Linked DNA regions of Tribolium castaneum. The protein of the gene in region 2 purifies or fractionates together with the protein of the main gene of each other region. This does not show direct contact. Links are inferred from orthologs where the notes say so. Each region holds a gene or a part of one and is shown on either strand. Other genes may lie near its edges.

Region 1 (4,275 bases), on a different chromosome or scaffold from region 2:
GTGGCCGAAAATTTGAACCAACGGGATGACGGTCAAGTCGCAATCTGCGGCTAGTCCCCAGGTCAGAGAAGCACAAAACTGTGACAAACCTACCCATATCAAGCAACTGTCTCGCCTCTTCTATGGTGTACGGGGCCCCACTGACCTGTGCGCTGTTCGACAGCCCCCCAATCGGCAGCAACTCGCGCGTATACGGGAACGTATCCTCCCATTCTAGCAAAATACCAGTCGCCCCCAAATCTTTAATCAGGGGAAAAAACTGAAATTGACGTTTAAAAGTGAGGTTGTGTCAAACAAACATACTTTTTCGAAGTAGCAGAGCTTCGGAGGGGCCCCTTTCAGGTCCAAGTGGATTAATCTGGGGCAAATGGTTAATTGTGGGTCAGGGGGGTTTGTTCTTACCTTTGGGAACCTAGCGTTAAAGCGTCCATTTTTTAACCTCACATTTCACTTGTCAAAGTAAACAAATCAATTAAGGAGGGTGGAATAATAATAAAAAACGGCTATTGAGGTAAAATTTATTACATTTAGCACTTGATAAATTAATCGATGTCACAATAAAATAAATAAAATGTTTAAATTAGGTAAAATCGTTTAGTCGTAATCTAGGACATGCTTGTGGTAAAAGAGTAAATATCTGGAAGTAGAAAATTACGGGGTGTTTACACAACTTTTCGCCTTACCCTTCCGAGTCTAGAACCTCCTTGAGAGTGGCTCTTGTGATGACGTGATCGTCGCATTTGTACCAATAGTCTTGCAACTGTCTGACATAAGCGGTGTAATGACCCACGTTTATGGAGTTGCCAATGTGGTTAATGACGGCAAAGAGCGAGTATCTGTTATCAGAGGGAAAAGGCGAGTCTGTCTTAGACCTGCTCATAAACGGGGTCATATCTAGCATTTCAGGAAACGAAATCGTAGTAGAGATTTTCTTCTCCATCTGCGACGAAATGAGTGACTTTTGTTTGGATTTCGTGTGGGTTTTTACCTCGTTCATGTGCTGAAAGCGTTTTAAATGAAAACTGATAACAATCGGAAGCGTATTCATAGTCAATTGTTTCGTCGATTCCTGCTTTGATTGGCAATTCGAACACATGATTTTCGAATTTTCGCCTAAATGTTCGGCCCTTGTGAACCTCTCTAAACAATCGACAAGTGAGGTAGGTGGCCGTCCGCCAACCGTGACCGGACCCAAATCTAACGAAAAGTCCGAAATTGGATCAATTGTAGTAGAAACACCACTACCAATGCAACAAGTAAAACCACCGGCTCGCTTAAAAATCCCACTACTCACTTGCATTTCTGACAAACAACGTCACTTTGCAACCCCCCGGTAAAAATCTGGTCGATAATGCAGGGGCATCGCGAGTTTTTCCCCACATTCACCGGCTTTAAATCGGGCATTGTCTCGAGACAGTGCTGGTGGAGCACGTCCAGAGTCGCGATGAAAAATTCGTGGGCGTCTTGCTGCTCATAGCCGGCTAAGTGCCGGGCATGCGTCCAGATTAAATGCAAGAGCTCGTGGAGGGCCAAAGGGACGCGAGTTCCGTTATAAAACTCCTAAAAAAAATTACATTTAAATTAAACGAACTGAGAAAAAAGAATAAACATATTTAAAAAATCAAGAACAGTTTACATAATGTGTGTTATCACTGTTTTAGTTAGACTTTTTTGTAGGAAATTTAATTCTTCTTGATCTAAATCAAAAAATAAAATGTTTGCATTATTTTTTGTTCTACCCGCCTGCATTTTTGTTTGCGCCATCTGGCGCCACTAATGGAACTATCCAGGACGGGGACATTTGAGTACGTTTCGTATCCTAACTTATAGTAACCCGTAGCCTGGCCATATACGACCATACCTGGAAAAGCTTGGAGACCTCGCAAACGAGGCACCGTCCCGACATCCCCTTGCAGTTATGCTCCTCTGTGAGGAAGTAGTCGCGCAACAAGGGGGTGTGCATCAGTGCTTGCACTATACAATTCATGAAGCACGTCTGACCTAAATTAAGCAGCCCCCTTAGCCCGATCGTCGAATCGGGCGTAATACAAATCTTCTTCGTCTTGCTCCTCAAATAATCCCTCTCATCAGACGTAGGATTCCACGTGTCGATCTCAAACAGCCGTTTCTTGCAAGTCTTCGACTTCATTTTATTATCGTTCGCAATTGCGTCGATTTCGGAATCGTAGATGTAGTCATGGCATTGGTTGCAGTGCATCTGCCCGTAGGTCAGGTCCATGGACATGGAGTGTTTCTGGCTCTTGGCATGCTCCCGGATGTGCTTGTGGCATCCGAAAAAGACACACTCGAGGCAGGCATGCAGGAAGGGGCCCCGCTTTTTGCACACGCGACAGCGGCTGTTGCACAACTACAATTCCTCTAGTTAGTTTTAGCAAAGCGTGGCCGATTTTTACCTTGGTTTTGAGGCTCTTTGAGGTGGAGTTGACCACGAACACGGCGTGGATCCACTTGAAAGTGTTCTTGTTTTTGCTCGTTTTCTTGTAAGACTGCAAGTGTTGACACCCAACTATGCTCATTTTTTTCGAAAAACGCGGCTTTGTGTGGGATTTATTGCCCATCAACGAGGTTGCCAACGAGATACAGTCGTGGCCTCAAACTATTGGCCCCAAGCCCCGATTTTTACAAAACTAAACGATTGTTTCCATTCACACAATAAAAAGTTTAAAAAATTGGTAAAAATTGTACACAAATCACGATATGACACTGGTGTCCACCTTTGGACAACAGACTGAGATTTACGGCCACATGCCCACAAGCACGATTCGAGAAACGGTGATCATTTTAATACAACAATGAAACGATTGCTGTGGCTTTCGGGTGATTCCCACAACCCGAAAATGTTATTTTGGGTCGATAAGTTTCACGCAATAATTTAATAAATCAATTTTAGGCCATGTCTCCAGTCGAGCGTCAAGTGGTGGCAATAACAGCCAACATGACGCCCACAAAGTGATACTCTAACACAGTTTTGGGTAATAATAGCCCCTTAATGATCACAAAAATGGAATTAGAATTAAAAAATAGTTGGAGTTTAATTCATGACTTGACCCGTGCCTATTTGGCAATCAACTCCGGCAAAGATTATTTTTTCCTAAGGTTGGCAAAGGTATAGTCAGCTGATAACGCACCATTTTAAAAATAAAGCGCCCGCGCTAATCCCCGACATCCTCCATTGCGTCGTATCTCCACGTCCGCATGCAAATAAGCGAGAGCACCCGAAGGCGTACGTCTGCAAAATCTGACGTTTCCGTACACCTGCCACGATGGCTTCTCCGCCGAATGATAAAAACACAGCAAAAAACGAGGTTTCCGTAAATGTAGACATAACGAAAACAAACATGCAAACTCCAACTAGCAAAAACGTAAGTTTGGCCACAATTTCCAGCCCGGTTTTTATCCGGTGTTTCAGAACCAGTTGGGCGAAATCGCAATCGAAGCGTCCGAAATTGTTAGTAGGTTAGAGCAGGTTGCCGAAGGGACAAGCCTGGCCGATGCGGCCTACAACCAGCCGACGGTGTTCCTGGGCCTGGAGCAGAAGCGCACCGAGGAAATCATCCAGATAATCCAGGGCTTGATCAGTGTGGATGAGGACGGGGAGCCGTTGAGTCTGCACAGTCTGGACAACGTGGCCAAGCTGGTGATGGTTTCGCACAGCATTGCGGCGTTTTGCAGCGGGCTGGAGCGCCCCGTCATGCAGAAGCTGAGCACGAGGTTCACCACGGACGCCACGCGCTGGATCAGCCAGATTTTCGGGTAAGAAATTGGGTGAACCCCCGGTATTAATAAAAAATTGAAGTTTTCTCGACTCGTCGTCGTTTTATCACGACGACCACCTCGAGGGGCTGGTCAGAGTGACCAGAATGATGCTACATTACAAGTACCCCCGGTATCTGGAAGACGGTGCTCTGGCCTTTACTGCCTCGCTCCCAACTATTTACAGCAGTGTGGCGAGTCCTTTGGTCGTAGTCCAGCACTTGTGTCGCCAGTTGGGGCTTCCCCTAGCCTGTGTGAGGCCCGTGCCGGTCAATACTCACTTCGGTAATTCACAATTTTTGGTCAAAGTGGTGACCAAGTCACTTTGATCAGAAATCATTTTATTGCAAGCTTTTTTGAGGGCTTGTCTTCAGGTTCGCAGTACACGATGGACGTAGCGTCGTTACAAAAAATGTTAGCTGATGATGTTAGCGCCGGTAGGACCCCTTTAATTGTGATTGCCGATGCTGGGACCCCTATTACGGGGCATGTTGATAATAT
Region 2 (4,323 bases):
ATTTAAATGTTAGGCTAACATGTATGAGTTGAGCGAGTGTTGCGTGCATGTGTGGAAATTAATTTTTCTTCATAGTCAGAAGAAAACAAAGAAAGTCATAAGATAATTATGAGTTTCTTTCGTTCATTGGGTGAGAAATTGGTAGTTGTAACGGTTATGAGAATAGTTTTGTTACGGTCTGAACAGTTTCGTTTTTATTTTATAATTTTTAATGTTGCAACATTACAGGTACCTTCAGCCTGTTTTTTTCAGGAGTTCCATTTTTTTAAAAGTTAGATTAGAAAATAACAAAAATGTAAAAAAAATTCATGTACATGTAAAGATGAATAATAAATTGGTGAAATATAACACAAAATGAAAGTTTCTCGAATGTTTACTACCCAATAAATTATTCCATAAAACTTGAAGCTTCAGAATCAGACATAGTGTCTGAAAGATAATGTCAGGCTTGCTTTGTCTTCTGTTTTATGGCAATGACGTAGCGTTGGGCCACATACAGGGGCGGGCTGTAGCCTTCAGGATACGCAGCGTCTTCAAACAAAATCTCATATTCATCAGTATGTGTTGCGGGAGGCTTGTTCACAATGCCTTTATAGAAGCAACTCGTAGTTGGGTATAGAGCCATAACTGAAACGCAAAACCAACATTTTAATTTACGTGGTGTCCGGTTATAACGAACTCAGAAAATGTGTCAAAATCCGTTCGTTATATCCGAGGTCATTAGAAGAGATAAATTAACAAAGAGTGTCTTTTTAGCTGTTATTTTTGCTTTATATCATTTGTCAAATAAGACGAAATAAGAAAGAATTGTAAAAAAACATTAATCCTTTGCGAAAAAGTAATAATTTGATAGTTGTGCAAATATTTTAAGGAATGTGAGTAGAGCTCAAAAGAACTCAACTTGCATTATCCGAATATTTGTGGTTTCTGAATTTTCGTCGGCGATGGCGAATAAATTTAAATTTGGCGAGCAATTTTAAACTTTACTAATAAAAATTTTAAACAAATATGATCTCTGAGGAATCTACTACACTGAGTAAAAATTATTAGCAAAAACAGACACAAAAAAACCACGAGACATCCCATAAAATAATTATAAAAATGTAAAAAATTTACATAGATTTTTTTTGTGCTAACATACCACCGAATGTTTCAACACGTTTGTGACATTCATCGGGCAATAATTCCAGAAATACTAGCCGAAACCCTAATAAGTGTATAATCGTTGGATAGCTCTTAATAATCTGTTTCTTTTTACAAAAAAGACCATTGTTCTGCGATTAACAGTTTTAAAAAAAATCGCAAACAGTGTAAAAAATATATCTTAAAAATTATTAAGAATCTGGTCATTTTCTTGACGCCAAGCGATTTCCCAGAGCATTTTACAAAGACAACTTTAAAATAGTTTCAATTTTCCGAAGAGTTTTGCCATAATCGGTGCTTGAAACAGGAGGAAGTTCGTTGTAACTCCACTTACCGACAGTTCCTTGTGGAAACAAGGCCGTTGGATCAGTCTCGGGATTAGCCCGCATTAGGGGTAACGGTACCACATTTCTCTTGCTCAAAGTATGTCGCCGTTTCTGATTCTGCTCCGCCAAAATATCATCAACTTCGTACTTATTTGAGGCGTGATTATAACTGTACACTTCAGCCAATATCCAGTTTTCGCCATCTCCATCAGGAATTTTAACCAAAGCAGCCACCATATCGCCCACTTTTGCCACATAGCCAGAGTCAGCAGGTGTGGCACCACAGAGAGCAGGAGGTTTTTCGTCTATTTTACCGACGAAAAGGGGCAATGTTTGTGCCGAACTCATTAACATCTTCATCCAAGTGCCCCTACGAATCGATTCTTTGTTTCCAGCATGTCTCGTTTGAATTCTCCGTTCGTTCTTAATGTTGCGGATTTCCGCAATTTTTTGAAGAGCTTGACGGAGCAAATCCTCCTCTTGCTCGGCGTGCGAAATTGAGGACTTGTAGAGGCTCTTTAGCTTCATCTACAATATATAATCATTACAGTAATCATATAAACTCTTATTGAATCGAAACAATGGAATTCTTTAAATTCACGTAAACAAAAATATTTACTTGAAACACAATTGAGCTTTAAAAGGTGGTTCAAAGGCGATTTTTTTTAATTTAGCGTTTCCAGGGCACCGTAAGCCGCCAAAGATCAGAAAAATGTCATCAAAGATCTTAAAAGCCATTGTAATTATTTACGTTTTAACAATTTTAACTGTAAGTTGCAGTGAAATCAGTACTTTTATTTGTAGCATAATTATTAGGTAACGATTGCCGCTGAGAACAAGACCGAGGTAAAGGGACCAAATGTCGTTGACACAAAGAAGAAAACAAATCACACTGATACACACATAAAAATGTTGGCCCCAAATTACTGTTATTTTTTCGGAAAATGCCTCAAAATATTTTGCGAATGCCAGAAAATCCACACCTGATAATGTTGGCTGGACTTCTCGTCTTGCCCATTTTGAAACTTAACAATGTTGTTTATTCCTTGTTCACTCTGTTGGCGTTTCTTCTCAATCTCATGAACCGTGTGATAGAGCGACTTCAAGTGCTCCTGAACTTTTTGCGCTGCGATTGCGTCTGCACTAAAGGGCATTTTAATAGTGCAATTAAAATTCACCGCAGAAATATGGGTTCCTGAAGTGCCTGTCTACAAGCACAACGTGGTACCAGCAAAGCAACACTAAAGTGACGAGTACCTGAAACGCCCAAAATAGAGCAAAAGTATACACTTTAGTAATCACTGACTATTCTACACACGGTTCTAGTGGAAATGTTTATTTCAATTAAATCAAAAAACATTGATTTGACTGTTTGATGCACTGCCAGGGAAAAGGGCACAAGTCGCACTGCGGGGGTAACTTTTATGTATTGTACTTTACAATAAACTACTAATTATGGAAATGGTAATTTTTTATCAAAATAACATGCACGTAATTTAAAATACACTTATTTTTGTTTGCCTGTGCTTGACGTTAGCCGTGCAAATAGACTACTTTTTGAAACACACGACCTAATACATATATTCAATTAAACCTACAAAAAATTCACTAATTAGTAATAATTGTGGAATAAAATGCTTGATAATGTTTTTAACATTGCAACGATAATATCACTAAGTTTCCCTTTTTTTCTATATAAGATAATGTTGTGTTAGGATTACTTATCTCTGTGTTGTCACATTGGAACTACGACGGCCTTGAGGCGCTATTTAAAAAATTGCAACTATTTTTTATTTATTTAATTAAATACGTGTTTGTAAACTTGCTACGAGGTTGTGATTGTGAATTTAATTAGTACTTGCGTCTTTAGATTAAAATGAAAAAAATTATTTGCTTATTAATTATGTAACTAACTAATGATATAGAGGTTTTTAATTTAAATATTTCAGGAAAATTCTGGTTTCAAAACGATTTGGGTCTATCTGAAAATTTATTTCATTAAAAAATATCGTGTTATTTAAATTTAGCGCCGCGCTTGTGCAGAGCGTGATGTTTGTAGACGTTTTAGGAATTGACAGGTAGCACAGAACAGAAAGGGTTAAGAAGTGATAATTCCCTAGTAAATCACTGGCAACACGAGAATCCAGCGCCTCTGGTGCTGAAGTGCGTTACTACCACGGTAAAGTGCCACGTTTGAATAAATTCCTTTTATATTGTTTTTTATTATTTTTATCTTACAAGTTTCATTGCAAATTGTTTAAAATAAAAAAATATATTTTCATTTTAAACAAAATGAAAACGTTTTATATTTATTTTAAACAAAATTTGAAATGAAACTTACAAAAAAAGTTGTTTTGGGGTAATAAAACACAGATTTTGTTAACATTTTTATTGTACACTTGAGTAACATAACAAATTAAATTTTTCAAAAAATTAAAGTATTGTATTATTTCTTAATTATACAAAAATTATAAAAAAATTAAATCAGTCAGTGTTGGCATGTTTTGCCTGTCTGCTCGAGACTTAAAACAAAATAAGGTCTGCTTTGCAATGACTTTTACCTTGTCTGTCAGCAAACAGTTGCCCACGCTACGACCACGAGGAGGTACATGCAGTGCACTGACACACTCGAGCGCAAATAAGAAACTTAAAAGTAAATTCTGAAATACCCTAAATAGCGAAAACGCCAAAATTTTGAACTTACAGGATCCTCAATTTTGCAGGCATTCCTCCACAATTCTTGAAGCTTTGGATTCTTAGGGAAGGTGAAGAAATGCTTATTGGACTGTCCTTTGTTGGGAACATAATCACTGGTGCATCCGGGGTATTTGCAGGAATATTTGCGATAACCAGC

The links.
Region 1: the proteins of Sgf29 (region 2) and not purify together in Homo sapiens (affinity purification with mass spectrometry; 6 studies listed by BioGRID and IntAct, with this or other methods). This does not show direct contact. The link is inferred for Tribolium castaneum from reciprocal best matches to the Homo sapiens genes SGF29 and USP22.

What each region holds. Positions count from the first base shown.
Region 1 is NC_087399.1:1,665,427-1,669,701, forward strand, and holds not (ubiquitin carboxyl-terminal hydrolase nonstop), read right to left. Parts: upstream 2,922-4,275; 5' UTR 2,580-2,921; coding exon 2,415-2,579; intron 2,369-2,414; coding exon 1,862-2,368; intron 1,561-1,861; coding exon 1,295-1,560; intron 1,242-1,294; coding exon 684-1,241; intron 638-683; coding exon 595-637; 3' UTR 505-594; downstream 1-504. Other genes in the region: hexosaminidase D, read right to left, coding at 1-50, 94-259, 304-358, 403-431; pyridoxal-dependent decarboxylase domain-containing protein 1, read left to right, coding at 3,285-3,383, 3,431-3,774, 3,818-4,059, 4,149-4,275. UniProt on the Homo sapiens protein: Deubiquitinase that plays a role in several cellular processes including transcriptional regulation, cell cycle progression or innate immunity.
Region 2 is NC_087396.1:14,032,996-14,037,318, forward strand, and holds Sgf29 (SAGA-associated factor 29), read right to left. Parts: upstream 3,054-4,323; 5' UTR 2,776-3,053; intron 2,727-2,775; 5' UTR 2,624-2,726; coding exon 2,453-2,623; intron 1,998-2,452; coding exon 1,478-1,997; intron 628-1,477; coding exon 443-627; 3' UTR 356-442; downstream 1-355. UniProt on the Homo sapiens protein: Chromatin reader component of some histone acetyltransferase (HAT) SAGA-type complexes like the TFTC-HAT, ATAC or STAGA complexes.